2 linked regions of the Oreochromis niloticus genome follow. The protein of the gene in region 2 interacts with the protein of the main gene of each other region in a pairwise test. Links are inferred from orthologs where the notes say so. Each region holds a gene or a part of one and is shown on either strand. Other genes may lie near its edges.

Region 1 (6,974 bases), on a different chromosome or scaffold from region 2:
GAAATTAGCATTTCAGTCTGTTCACTTTCCCATCTGATGGCGCTCCATAGCGAGACTGTGCGTCCTGGAAAGATGTCTGTCGACTTCAGGTCTCTTTCGTCACAACACTCCATAACTCTCCTAACTCCCCACAGAGAAGACGGGGAGCAATAATGATGGAGATTTGCAGCATGGCGTTTGTAGGCACTTCAGAAACTATTAAAATACAGTTCCAATATTGGGCGCCAATACAAAGGTGGAATGCTCAAAAGGGGCTGTTGTATTATCTGGGTACTTGCAAGAGTTTGAAGACTTGAAAGACAGTTATCATGAGTGAATCATGATAATAAGAGTTGGAAGGATTTCTGTCAATTAAATTTGAAGAAGTAAGACATATTGCTGCTGCACGCCGCCCCAACAAAAAGCCAGTGGTTGTTAACAAGATCCCCAAATCAGATCTCAAAGAATCTTTATGCTTGCGAAACTAACAAGCCCAAAGTTTCCTCCTAAATTTAGATATTCTTACTTTTGATTGACTTTGTGTCATTCCATAAACACACCAGTGAAATAATATAGATTTTGAGTTTAAGTCAGCCTTTACACAATGTTCACTTTTCCCAAAGTGGTGGTTTCTCACCAACAGAGTCAACAACTAACTGAATAAGCAAATGGTACTCAGCGGATAATTTTGCTTACAATGTTCCGGAGGCATATGATTAGAATATTAATTAGGCCCATCTATGACGGTCAGATAATAACAATGTCAGTGGGCTGAAAGGATTCTGTGACCTGTAAAAGGGCTATTCACAATCTCCAGTCTGCCATAGTTCATTCTTTTGGCCACAAGCAGCAGACTTTTTCACACCATTTCTAAACATTCTCATTGCCGTGAGCTGGAACACTGTGGAGGAAGTATGTCAAGAAATACAAATATGTTGAAAACTGCACGTTTTATGTCAAACACAATTGCAATTCATAGCTCATTAGAAAGTTTTTTTCTATGATTTATTTGGAGTTTTTGCCCCAAAACTTCCAGTTAATGTTCATCCTCCTTGTAAAGGAGTTAACTTGGCATTATTTGGGTTTTAATTACATGACACGGATCAGAAACATCAAAGCAGAGGAAACATCCGACTGCAGCCACAGATGATGTTCACTTGTTCCCAAAGAATCAGTGATACTTTTTACTGAAAATCTCCACCAAATGTCCACCAGAAATTCATACTGACGAAAAGGAAAGAAAAGGCATTGGAATGAAGACGTCTGCAACTTTCTGTTGAAAATAGCATGATCAGAACCCCCGGTGCAAAGTGTATCCCTTGTTCGCCCTGTAAATGTGAGAGCATTACTCATGTTGTGTCCCTTGGGACATCAGTGGGATGCCTCTGTTAGACATTTTGCTGTACGGACTACTTACAGCACTTAAAAAACAAAGCCAATAAAAACATGACATCCTTACAATGACTAAAAAGAGGGCTTTCAAGGGTCAGTAGGTTCATTGTACGTATTAGTGTTAAGTCTCTTGAGAAAAGGCAGGATAAGCTTTTTGCTTTTTTTTCTGTCTTGAGCTTCCACCCCGTAAAACGAGAAAGATCAGCCATCTCAATCTATGTACAATCAGCAAGAAGAGGTTTTTAAAAAAAGTTTAGTGTTATGATTTTCAGATGCACGTTTCTGGATGTGGAACTTATTTCTAGACAATCAAATTATAATCAGAATGTATTTTCTAACTCGACTGACTTCCAGTAGAAACTTGAAACTCTTAAGGTCAAATGAAGCAGCCTTAATATTCATTCATTATGATGACAAAGTCGATGGTGTGTCATGCACTTGCATAGTTTTCTCAATTGGAAAAAAAATGGCACTGCACAACGTTTTCAAAGTAAAGTTTGAACTGATAATCAAGTAGAGTGCTCTCCATCAAGGCTCGGGTAGCAAATAAACAACCCAAACTGAGAAACGGATATAAAACACCCCTTTTTGATAGCTGTGGGAGAAAGAAAACATGTTTGTTTCTTGATTTAACTATTTAAAAAAACAATATTTTAGTGGTTCACTTGGGGTCTCTTAAGGTGCTCTTTGTTGCTTGTTTACTTGCCCATTGCAGTACCGATCCTGTTGTTGGGTTTCATGTTTAAGTAATCTCGTGTAAATGGGGAAAAAAGCTGTTTAACACTGGTCGTGTCTTACTTATTTGACCAAGTATAACCAGAATTTGATGTTCATTTCAGGTAAATTGTAGAAAATCATTAAATAAATCACTACCTTTAACAAGGCTAGACTTGGAAATATTGGGGGGTTTTTTTGCTTTGAAAATAACCATTAACCCATTTTCTGACCTTTAATATTTGTCACTTGAGATTTAGCTTTGAAAGGCACCACGAGGCACCAGAGCACAGTCAGGTCTACTATGAAGGTAAGCAAATTAGCACAAATTCTAAAACATGGAACTACAGGAGCTACATATAGTGCTCTGAGCTATATTTCTTTAGGATTAACTCCCCAGAGAGTGGTGGGCATAAAATCAAACCATCATTGCCCCTAAAAAATTAAATCTTTGTGAACTGAGTCAAAGAGGCATTTTGTCTCCTCATTTCAGGACCACTTAGTGTTGTACTAGAATCACTGGGCTGGCAGGCATGTGGCTAGTGGCAGTGGACTGCGGTGAATGAGTTAAATCAGTCTCTCGTAAACTCGACCCTGTGTCGTCACAAGAGGAAAGAGGCCAAAGACTCACGCAATGAGGGTAATCCAACAGTGAGCTGGTGTGGCATCGTTGTTTCCCGCTGGTCCCAGAAAGGCTCAAATAACTCCCATGTGCACCCAAGGAGAGCAGAGGACAGGCATACATCAGAGGGGGAGCTGGAGGTTGAAGGAGTGTGGATTTATCTTGGAGTGTCACAGAGATGCTCCGATTGCAGTCTCCACCTTGTTGCGTTGCTGTCATCAATTCTGCCAATACTGGAGCCATTGACTGTTGAGGTGATGGCTCTGTGTATAGTCTGCTGTCAGAGAGATTGGTAGCCACAAAATTAGATCTGCCCAACTCTTCTTATATATATATATATATATATATATATATAGATAGATAGATAGATAGATAGATAGATAGATAGATAGATAGATATATATATATCACTAACACGACAAATACTACAAAAAAAGTTCTTTTGTTTTTATAATTAGGTCTATATAATTAAGTAATACTTAAATAATTTTCATCCTCTTGTTATTGTTTTAAGGAAATTTAATGACAGATAAAAAAAAATAATTGGGGTTAGAAACAAAGTTGGAGCTGCTTTGTCCTCTGCTTATTGGTGGTTGGTGGTTCAAATTCTCCAGTCCAGTTGTCAGAAGGTAGATACTGACCCGAATGCATCCTTATAGAAATTCATTGTATAAAAAATAAAAACAGCAAAAAAAATAAAGATTACGATAATACTGATACATGCAGATTAGGTCCTCCCCTTGACTTAGCACTGTGATACTTTCCTGATTAAAAGGTCCTGGTAAGGTTGCCATTGATGCGGTCTAGTTGCTGGTAGACTTTTCTCAGCTTCAATCTACCACTTTATAATGAACTTAATAGTTTTTCAACATAAACAGTTTTGATATCCTGTTGAAATAGGACTAATTCTCTAATCTATTAACGTTACTGACAGGCAAGACTAATCTTGTCTGGCTCAAACATTAATGTTATTGTTTACTTATTAGCCATAGCTGCTAGTCACTATCTTAATGATAACTTAAAAGACAGCTAATGTGGGTAATTGCAAAACAGATAAATGGGGCTAACGTTAACACGTGTACCGGCCAGCTTAATGTTTACGACAACTGTTTAATACTTTGATATTGCTGAAACAGAAGCTATACTGATGACAGGAAAATCTTTGTACAGACCAGAGTGTCACTTTTTAAGATGCTTTGTCAAGTTGGTTGTGCTGCTGTTCATGTGTTTAGCTGCTAGAGAAGAGATGGGCTGTAGGAAGTTGTGGGTAAACTACATAAGGTGAAGACGGCACTGTTGCCATCAATACTGTTGCAAATGAGTCTCTAATCTGATAATGATCTTTAATACAAATCACTATCCAAGTACCTTTTTCTACACTGTACACATGCTACCTATCATAGCTATTGTTTTTTTGTGTGACATTCCTGGTAATTACAGCCCACTAGCCTTATTACGTTTATGAAATTTGGCAGCACATGTTGCATCATTTTTGCTTACAAATAATGGACTACTAAAATTTCCAGAGTTTCATTGATACTGTTTAAAAATAATTCTAAAGAATTTTCAGCCGATAAAAGCACACCATATTTTATTGTTTTACATTTTTGTAATACTTAACTGTCAAGTATCTCTATTCACTTATAGCAGCAAATGTTATATTCGAGTAATTTGTCCTCTGCAGTGGTTTTGGTTATTCGTTTGAGCTTTAGATTTCTCCAAGCTGCCTCTCTGTCCTCCAATGAGAGAGAAGTGCCAGTCAAAGTGGGAGCCTTACTGCTGTCCAACATTAAAATAGAAGCCTTGAGTGGTCTGTCTGGGCCGTGACGGGAGTTGGAGGTGTGAGTGCTCCAACCAGCAGCCACCACCTGCTTTGCTTGTTCATGCTGTCTTTGGTGCCCTTTTTTGGTGTGTGCAGAGTCTTAAAGAGTTTAGCTATGCCTTTGATGCCTTCTTTGATTTTTAGAATATGCACGGGATCAATAAGGAACACAGACTTCAAAGCTCAGGCACCCTTCACCTGCTGCTGGTCACCATTTCTGAAGTGTTTCCAATCACATACAGAGACTAAACAAACAGTTAGCAGGGGCTGGTTGGACACTGACTTCATGATCAATGAAAACTAATACTCGTGTAGAAAAACTTGGCAGCGTGATCAGACTAAAGTAAATATTTTAGCCCCTTGAGGTTTATTTTATTTGAACAAGACATTTCTTTGCATATAAATAAGAAGTCAGGGAAATAAATTTGAAAGTGAGAAGATGCGAGACTCTTAAATATCATTTACAGCCTTAGTTTAGGAGATGTATGCTTATAATTCCACTCTTGAAGCACGTGCACACACACACACACGCACACACTTCAAAGTACTTAGATTAATGCATAATAATCTCCAAGAGCCACAACGGTTTAATAACTCACTCAGATGTCTCTAATATGTCACTCAACCCTCCAACACTAAACATTTGATAATAGTGCTTTTTTTTTTCTTCTCTTTTTCCTCGTACAAATCTAGTAACCTAAGTGGCAGCAAAGTTCAAAGAAGCAGATTGTAATGCATGTTATGGAAATAAACCCGGGGCTGATTATCCTTTAAATCTCTGGCTGCCCCAACCCCCTCTAAAAATGGCTGTCATGATGAAATGACTATCCTTTATTACATTCTTCTCCCTTAATCCTCCTCAATTTATTAGAGGGGGGGTGCCTCGGCACAACAATGCCAAAACTCATTTCCATGGGAGCCCACACGGCATGATGTCCATGAAGGGAGAGACAACTGATTTCCTATGCAAAGGGTCCTTTTGAAAGAGGGAGGGGGCAAGAGAGAGACAACTGATTCTTTTATTGCAAATGACTTCAGTGTTTTGTTTAGGGGGGCTGAGGGTAGTGAAGCCAGCATGACTTCTGCTCACGCACTTTAATTCAGATGATGCAGGTGCATGGCTAATTGCAGGTGTGCTGCTGGCCAGCCTCACCTCGGTCTGTATATCCTCATCCACACACACAGAGACATGCACTCAGATGCTTGGCTTTCTACATAGACATCAGCCAGGTACTGAGAGAATGGATCAGCAAGCACTTCATTTGCATTTCGCCATTCAAACTCTGCTGTAAGTCTGCGAGAAACTGAAGGGCCCTATTCAGAAATCTTAATAGTCTAGTGGATATCACAGTGTGGGAAAGCTAAGCACAAACTTTCTGTGTGAGGAAAATTTACAAAAGACTTACTGTGAACTGTTAGCTTATTGTCCCCGAAAATAAATAATAAGAGGAAATTCAGTTTAGACTCTGAGAGCGATAGCCAAGTCCGGCAGCAAATGTGGAAGAGCGAATCTTTTAACAAAAAGCTTTAATTTCCATTTTGTCCGTTAAACAAGATTTTAACCACCTTCAATTTTTGTCGTGACTCTTTTTAACGTTTAATTTTTGCACTGCGCAATCATTTTTTTCTTCTTCCCCCTTCAACCCTCTCCTCTTGTTCAATTATGCTCTTAAGAAAAACGTGATGTGAGAAATACCGTAAAATTGAGACCAGGAGGGGGGGAAAAAAGAAACTTCTAAATGAAACCTCTCTCTCTCTCTCTCCCAATCCCAAATGAGAGGAAATTACTCATCAAGTGATTATGAAACTGTTGGCATTATAGAAATCAGCGTGAAAGAATAGAGTCAGGAGAAAAAGAGGGAGGGGTTGGCAATTTGTTCTCAATGGACAGCGGATGAAGAGGTGGCAAGTTAAAGTCTCCAATCTGAAGGGTCTCCTTGTAAAGCTAATTCCGGTTAATGGCCGAGGAGCAAGCCTCCACTGTATCTGACATCCTGGCTCCAGGTAATCAGACTGACATTAATGCAGGCTCCAAAAGAGACACCTCGTCATCAGGAATTTTCCTCATTGGCACCGAAAATGCCAGGCTGCACACCTCTGACTGCGTGGCCCCCACATCTATTAACCTTATTGATTTGGAGCCCTGCTGAGCCCCTCCAGAGCTCCCGCCCCCCTGCTGCTGGACTGAAGTGGATCAATCCTACGCCGGGGGCCACAACTCGATAACAACCCAGTGCTCAGAGGCTACTGTTTACAACCTGAAATGAATACACACATAGGTGCTGCTCTGTATATTCTCTGCTCGGCCGTTGACACTTTTTTGGCAATGGTTTAAAAGTTTTAAGAAGTGTTAATTATATCTATAAAAAAATAACTGGTTTAATAAGTGCACACAGATGCCAATATTCACCAGCGTCACTTATATGCTTTTGTTTTGTTTTTTTA
Region 2 (7,171 bases):
AAGAACAGGAAGTGCATCACTGTTTGTTTCCAGCTAAAAATAACACCACCACTTTTTTTTTCTTTTTTTTTTTTGCAAAAAGAAATGATTTGCCTGCATTTGCATGCAGAGCAAATACACACTGCTACTTTCCCTCTGCACTTTCATCTCGGTCTCTGCAGCATGAAGAGGGTCAGGGCTGGGTCAGCCATTTTTGATAATAATAAAAACAACAACCAGACATGAATAATAATAATTAGAAGTTTGAGCTGTAACAATAATTCCAGATATCTAAACTTCACGCTGACCACAGAAACAGCTGGAGCTTTGAGAGCAGCCAACTTTGTGTTTACACGAAAAATGTGGCAACAAGGGACAAAGTCAGTGTCATTTGTTGATCTGTGGGAGTCGCTGAGAACCACCACCAGACTTCTCTTACAAAACCAGCAACTCTTACATGAAAACAGGGTCGAGTTTATGCAACGCACCATTTCCGATATGACTAAATACATTAAGAACACCAAAGTCATGCAGCAGCAAGAACTAAGCAGCTGAGCGAGCTGTAAACAAGCAGCTCACGTGTTTTGTGACATAAAATTGCTGTTTTGTGAATGAGTCTGGTAAAGCGTAACGGCTTCACGTCCTTGACACAGGTGTTGAAGATGATCTCAATACAACAGCCAATTAAAACGGATTCTTTTAGCCATGCAAAATCTGACACACTGCGGTAAACAACTGGAAGCAAAGCGTGAAATAACAGTTTTCCTGAGCCGTCGCCTCTGAAGGAGAGGCTTTTTTGTCTATAATGTAACACACAGACAAAATATCAGGATGTGATCGGTTCTAGCTGGCTCATCGCTACACCTCACAGCCACACTTACTAATCTACTCATACAAAACTCAAGGAGAAGAGCTTCACGGCTGTCAGTACAAAAGGTGAAAGGTCAAAGAGAGAAAAACTTTCCACTGCTGGCTGGTGTTTTGCAAAGAGTCAAAGTGCCACAGAGCCACTCGACATGCAGCTTCGATGTATAATCTGTTAACAGCGGCTCGAGCGTGAATGTCAGAGAGACCCATTTCTTCAACAGCTATGACGTTGGTCTTTCCTCCTGCCCGTTTCCTCTCCTCCCAGTTTTCCACCTGCTTCCTAACAGGAAGTAACTGGCAGGAAAGTTAAGCTGCAAGTGGAATGGGCTGGGCTGACTCGCAACCCCCCGGTTAGAGGAAAATCCATCAAAAACAGCAGCGATGATCAGCATTTTATAGTGAAAAGCTGCTAACACATGAGGAAACGGATCATTTTTGTGTGCATGAAAGCTGTACATCCAACAAACCTTCACCTCACAGAGGAGAAACATGCAGGATGTGGATGTAAACAGCCTGAAGCAGTCAGCACTTTAACCTCATTTTCAGCAGATGGAGTAAAGGAAAGAGCTGAACCTGACTTTAAAGGCCCTGTATTCCTATCACATTACGACAGGACGGGATCTGATGAGCATAACAGTCATTCCTCATCATTAGTCTTATTTTTGTGTGTTGGATTAATGCAGTTAAGCCCTCTGGGTCTCTTCTGTTAATCGGGATCTGCAGAAGAAGGAATAAAGGAGAAAACATGGGAAGGAAAGCTGATCCACAGCAGTGCTAACCCAATTAACTGAGGGTGTAAACACACAAAAAAGGGAAGGGGGGGCATCCTGAGCTTTAAAGAAACCACAATCACTTTGTGTCGATGTGCTGTGCCTACAAACCGAGTGTATCGGCCCGAAACAGGAACCAGAACTCACAGATGCCCGAAAACGAAAGCTCCATTCTCTTTAAAATACATTTACAGCTAACTGGCATGAACCTGCGGTACCAGAAACCCGAAATAAGCCCGTGATGGAGGCAAGTGAACCTAAATAGCCCACCAATACGCTCCTTCGTACCAAATTCCATTCAAAAACACTTCATTTTAACATTTCGCCCCTGGTTAACGAGAATACACAACACTCTAATATTTTACGTTACATAAAAGCTGACTGTAAACATTGGAACTGAATCGAACAAGAATAAGCTCCATAATTTAAACAAATCTCAAGTTAAAATGCTGTTTTTCAGGTTACATGTCGATACCGCCCACTAACGTTTCAGCGGTATTTTACTGGACAAACACCGTGGGAATTCCTCTTTAAAACACCCAAATGTGGTGTAAAATCACCCGAATATCGTGCCGTTTTTTTTCTTTGTGTTAGAGTAAGCGGTGGGCGTTAACAGTTGATCATTTTTCGTGTGCTTTTCAGTCAGACGGAAACGTTAGCGTAATGTTGAAAATTGACAGATTTCTGAGCGGACGCTGGAACGCCGTCCCGTCCACCACAGCCGCGGATAGCTAACCCCACCCTGCTGTGCTAACTTCGCCTCCTGCGAACGAGGTCATCGCTCTGAGAGTTCTGGACCAGAACCAGAGGGCTCGCTCGCTGGTCCCGGCCCGGGTCTAGCTAATTAAGCGGGTAAATCTCTGATGCTCGGGCTGAGAGCAGAAACTCCTCCGCCTGGGCCACTAGCACGGCTGCTAGCAAAGTGCGTGAGAACCGACGCTAAACCGCAGCTAGCCGTTCATAGCCTAGCCGTCCTACCTGGTGCCCGCCTTGTCCCCCATCTCCTCTGCAGGCGGACGGCAGGAAGATCCCAACAAAATGAGGCCGGACTCGTAGGTGTCTTGACTTTAAAAACGGAGGCTTTTCTTCAGCCTGCTCCCCTCACATCGGCGCACAGAGAACTAGTTAGTATGGTAATTTGATTTAGCGCCGCCTCGGCTCTCCGCTGGCTTCCGCAAAGGCAGCAGCTCCCCCTCCCCTCTGCTTGTTTGTGCGCGCTCTGCTGTCTCTGTGAGGACCCGCTGCGAAATAAAACAGCAGCGAGCTAATCCAGCTGCTTTACAGGCTGACCGAGGGTTTACTGCTGCTTCAAAGTCCATTCATAGTTTGGCATAAATGATTCTTAAACCTGCGGTGCAGCGCAGACTCTGTGCTAACACCGGCCATTCAATGTTAAACAGAGCAGGAGATGATTCACATTAAACAGCCTGACATGTTTAAGGTTCACCGCAATCCAGGGCCGTGTTACCTACAAGGCTTCGGATTTCCCGGACCCTCAGGGGCCCCCAGGAGTCCTCCACATGAAGCAATACAGAAATCAGGGAGTTGCTTATCTTTACTGTAGCTGATGTTTTTTTCCCAATAACACACCAGAAAACACAGTATGACCAAAATTTACAAAACAGACTCCTATTTTTTTTTTTTTTTAAAAGACACAAAACAAGTAGCAGAGCCCAAAAACTCTGAATGACTTATTCCCAAGTCGTCTATTGAGGTCTTGCAGTCACATGATCACCAACCACATGGTTTTAACTTGTCCATCATCTGAGACATGATGTCCTTACAGACTGGTCTGCAACTGTTTGGCCACCACTGCTCAGTCGTGAGAGAAAAGTGTATTCCCCAACTGGTCAGTGATTGCTTTGGTTGCTATCGAGTTGCTGCAATCATCCGTGGTTTGCATGCAACACGCCAATGTGTCTGCAAAGCTGTGAAAAAAAGCAACACAAAGAGAAATGTCGAACATTTACCTTCAAAGTGAAATTTGTGCCTTCTGACACATATCGGCATGGTTCTGAGCCATCGCTTGTACTTTGAAGGCGACCCTTCTCTGGTTTGCACCAGATTATTTCAGGTTTCACCAACCATTCAGGGAATACATACTTTGCCCTAATGTGTATCACCTCAAATATTGCAGACCACTCTGGAGGAATGTAGACTGACATCATGTGACAAGCCTCTATGGGACTGGAGGTCTTTTTATGCAACCACAGTTATTGCCATCTGGTGGCCTTCAGGTAGAACACGGGTTTAAGACACGTGCTTCATTTTTCCAACCTGTTCTGCTGGGCTTCACCTCACCTTATCCAAGTCCCTGACCAATAAACTACACGGTTTCAGGCTTTACGGAGCAGAGCCCACAGACTAAAGCAGTGAAGTCACAGTGACTATGTTCAACCTTCATCCAGAGGCCACGGTCGGAGAAAAGCCTTCAGGGCTGCTCTTGAAGGAAGCCCTTTTTCACCACTGCAAAAAATGCCACTCTGCCACTAGAAAAAATAAAAACATGACATCTGTAAATCACAATTTTGGGCTATTGTCTTCAAATTTGGACTTATTAAAACAACATTTCTTGAGTTACTGAGTGTCAGACTAACCCTAACCCTAGTTTTGAGTTATTAGGTTGAAATTTAAATGAAGTGTTAAAGACGAGCTTCCATAGTTCCTCCATAGATGTTAATGTTCTTCTGAGCTGCTGTTGGAACAGTCTGTGCGCTGTAAAAGTACATGCAGGCTTTTGCCCTATGACGTCACTGCAGGACATTTGCAAGTTAAGCCTGCAGCTTGTGCAGTTAAAGATTAGATGTTGTCACCTCCTTCCAGACTTAACACGCATTTCACAACTTGAAACTATTTTGCAACTAATTTCTGATATTATCAGCTGCAGCATCAGAAGACCGAGCATCAACTGGGATGTTTCATCATTTAAGTTTTTAAACACGAATGCAGTGGTACAATAAAAAAAACAACTTATTTCTTATCACACAGGAATTTGTTCATGTGCCACTTTTAGAACATTTAATCCCAAAATAAATTAAAAAACGGTCTCGATGAAGTCACCTGGTCAGTCACCTGGATGACTTCTTCAGTCTCAGCTGACTGCAGGTTTGTTCAGTCACCTGTGTAACAATCAAAACCACAGCATCACATAACATGAGATATGTTTTATGATCATGCAGACTGCCGTGACCTATTGGAAGGAGACCCGTGGTCAGCACAGACTTAAGAAAGTCACCTGGATGAATGAAAAATAGATTTTGCTGTTTATTCTGTTGAATTTCTTGACATATCAAAAGTATACCCACTGTTAGCTGGATGGCTGCCCAGAGTCCCCCCTGTACAAACCTTAGATAGAATAAGAAGATACCTCAGTAGCAAACATGTTTATACCATATTTCTATTAACCTCATTAACACACTCATATTAGTTAGTTTGATGCTTAAGGCTGCGTACTTTCACTCTAGGCTGAGTCTGTTGGTTTATTGGCTTTGGTGCATTTTAGGAAACTTTCATTCATCAGATAAACTCTCTGCTCTCAGACTAAAGGCGTTGCCACAGCAAGAGGAATGGGAAAACCCCACTCCCTTCTTCTGGGAAAGTATAATAAAATTATAGTTGTTTGAACTAATTGCATTACTTGATAAATTGTGTCCTTAGATACACCAACAAAATTTCCATTTTCCTGAAAGTTCTTATTAATTACCGAGGGGTCCCTGTGGAATAACAGGATGCTGCTCATATCTGGAGGTTTGTTTCCTTTGACACTGAACAGGCGGCGCACTCGAGAGGAGTGGAGTCACAGAGCACGCATCGCCACACACTCACTCAGTTTTCGAGGGCTTCATAACCCACTTAACACTAATTGGGTTGGAATGGCACTCCATGTGGTGGACCCTCCACATGAACACGAGACGGTAGCTTAAAGGTAGCTCTTGTGCTGCCTACATGTGCTAACAACATCTGCTTTCAAAGGTCTGTCCTTCTAGTTTCTGCACAACACAAGGTTTGGATCAGAACGTTCCTCATTGGAGTGTAAGGACTAACACGTTTATTTGAAGCTAGACAAAAACAAAGACACTTTACTCGATTCATCTAGAGCTAACAGTTGGTTCTTTTTGAACAGAAATATTTTATCCTGAATAAGCCCCAAAAGTTGGTTTTCCAACAGTGAAACCAATACAGAAGTGCCTTAAACCTGTATTCTTTTTAATGGCCACCAGGGGGCCAATGAATTCTGGTCCTGTGGACTGTTATCCAACCTAGTGAGCCGGGATGGTACTGCAGGTGTAATAGAAATTCAGTTTTAATTTACTTACAAAGTACAATTACATATTTATATGAATTTATGTGAACTTGAACTGGTACGAGAAGTTTGTGTCCTAGTGACAGATGGGTCACGTTAGCCTTAACATTTTGCATATAAACTGCCAATTCTAATGGGTAGCATTAGCAGTTTATAGCCAACAGACTGATTTTGAATAAAATTGTCATGTTAATGCATCACTCTCTCACGCTTTGATCAGAGTGGAGCTTTGAGATTGGGATTTTCTGGTTTTGCAGCACTCCTGACTTTGGGAATCGCTGCTCTAACTCATCGACTTCTGCAAGGTAAGAATGGTGACCTAAACAGAGGCTTCATCACATGTGCCAAGGTGGTTTCGCCCTTAACCCCCACTGATGGTAATGACCCATGCCAGCGACTGTCAGGATCAACTCCAAACAGGTTAAATACCTGGGACTCTCCAGCTTTTGTTTTAGAACTTTAGAAGCTCCTTGGATGAGACGTGACATGTCTTTACAAACATAAAGAAGTCACGCTGCTGTTTTTTCCCCAAACTTTAGGACGAGCAAAGACAAACAATGTCAGATTAAACCAGTTACATCAGCATAAACAGCAGCTGGAGGAATTGACCAGATTAAACTTTAGTTTGAACTTCAGTAAAAAGAACACAAGAACTAAAAACATCCATCTTCATCCGCTTTATCCGAGGCCGGGTCGCGGGGGCAGCAGCCTAAGCAGAGAAGCCCAGACCTCCCTCTCCCCAGCCACCTCCTCCAGCTTATCCGGGGGAACACCAAGGCGTTCCCAGGCCAGCCGAGAGATATAATCTCTCCAGCGTGTCCTGGGTCTGCCCCGGGGCCTCCTCCCGGTGGGACATGCCCGGAACACCTCACCCAGGAGGCGCCCAGGAGGCATCCTTGTCAGATGCCCGAACCACCTCAACTGGCTCCTTTCGATGTGGAGGAGCAGCGGCTCTACTCTGAGCCCCTCCCGGATGGCCAAACTTCTCACCCTATCTCTAAGGGAGAGGCCAGCCACCCTTCGGAGGAAGCTCATTTCTGCCGCTTGTATCCGCGATCTCGTTCTTTCGGTCACTACCCACAGCTCGTGGCCATAGGTGAGGGTCGGGACGTAGATCGACCGGTAAATTGAGAGCTTCGCTTTTACACTCAGCTCCCTCTTCACCACGACGGACCGGTGCAGCGTCCGCATCACTGCAGCCGCAGCACCAATCCGTCTGTCGATCTCCGGCTCCCTTCTCCCATCACTCGCG

What was found. The genes of interacting proteins can lie anywhere in the genome.
Region 1: the proteins of arrestin red cell (region 2) and agtr1b interact in a two-hybrid assay, tested with the Homo sapiens proteins (2 studies listed by BioGRID and IntAct, with this or other methods). The link is inferred for Oreochromis niloticus from reciprocal best matches to the Homo sapiens genes ARRB2 and AGTR1.

What each region holds. Positions count from the first base shown.
Region 1 is NC_031974.2:17,755,578-17,762,551, reverse strand, and holds the start of agtr1b (type-1 angiotensin II receptor), read right to left. Parts: upstream 3,019-6,974; 5' UTR 2,754-3,018; coding exon 2,717-2,753; intron 1-2,716. UniProt on the Homo sapiens protein: Receptor for angiotensin II, a vasoconstricting peptide, which acts as a key regulator of blood pressure and sodium retention by the kidney.
Region 2 is NC_031975.2:31,921,816-31,928,986, reverse strand, and holds the start of arrestin red cell, read right to left. Parts: upstream 3,008-7,171; 5' UTR 2,618-3,007; coding exon 2,595-2,617; intron 1-2,594. UniProt on the Homo sapiens protein: Functions in regulating agonist-mediated G-protein coupled receptor (GPCR) signaling by mediating both receptor desensitization and resensitization processes.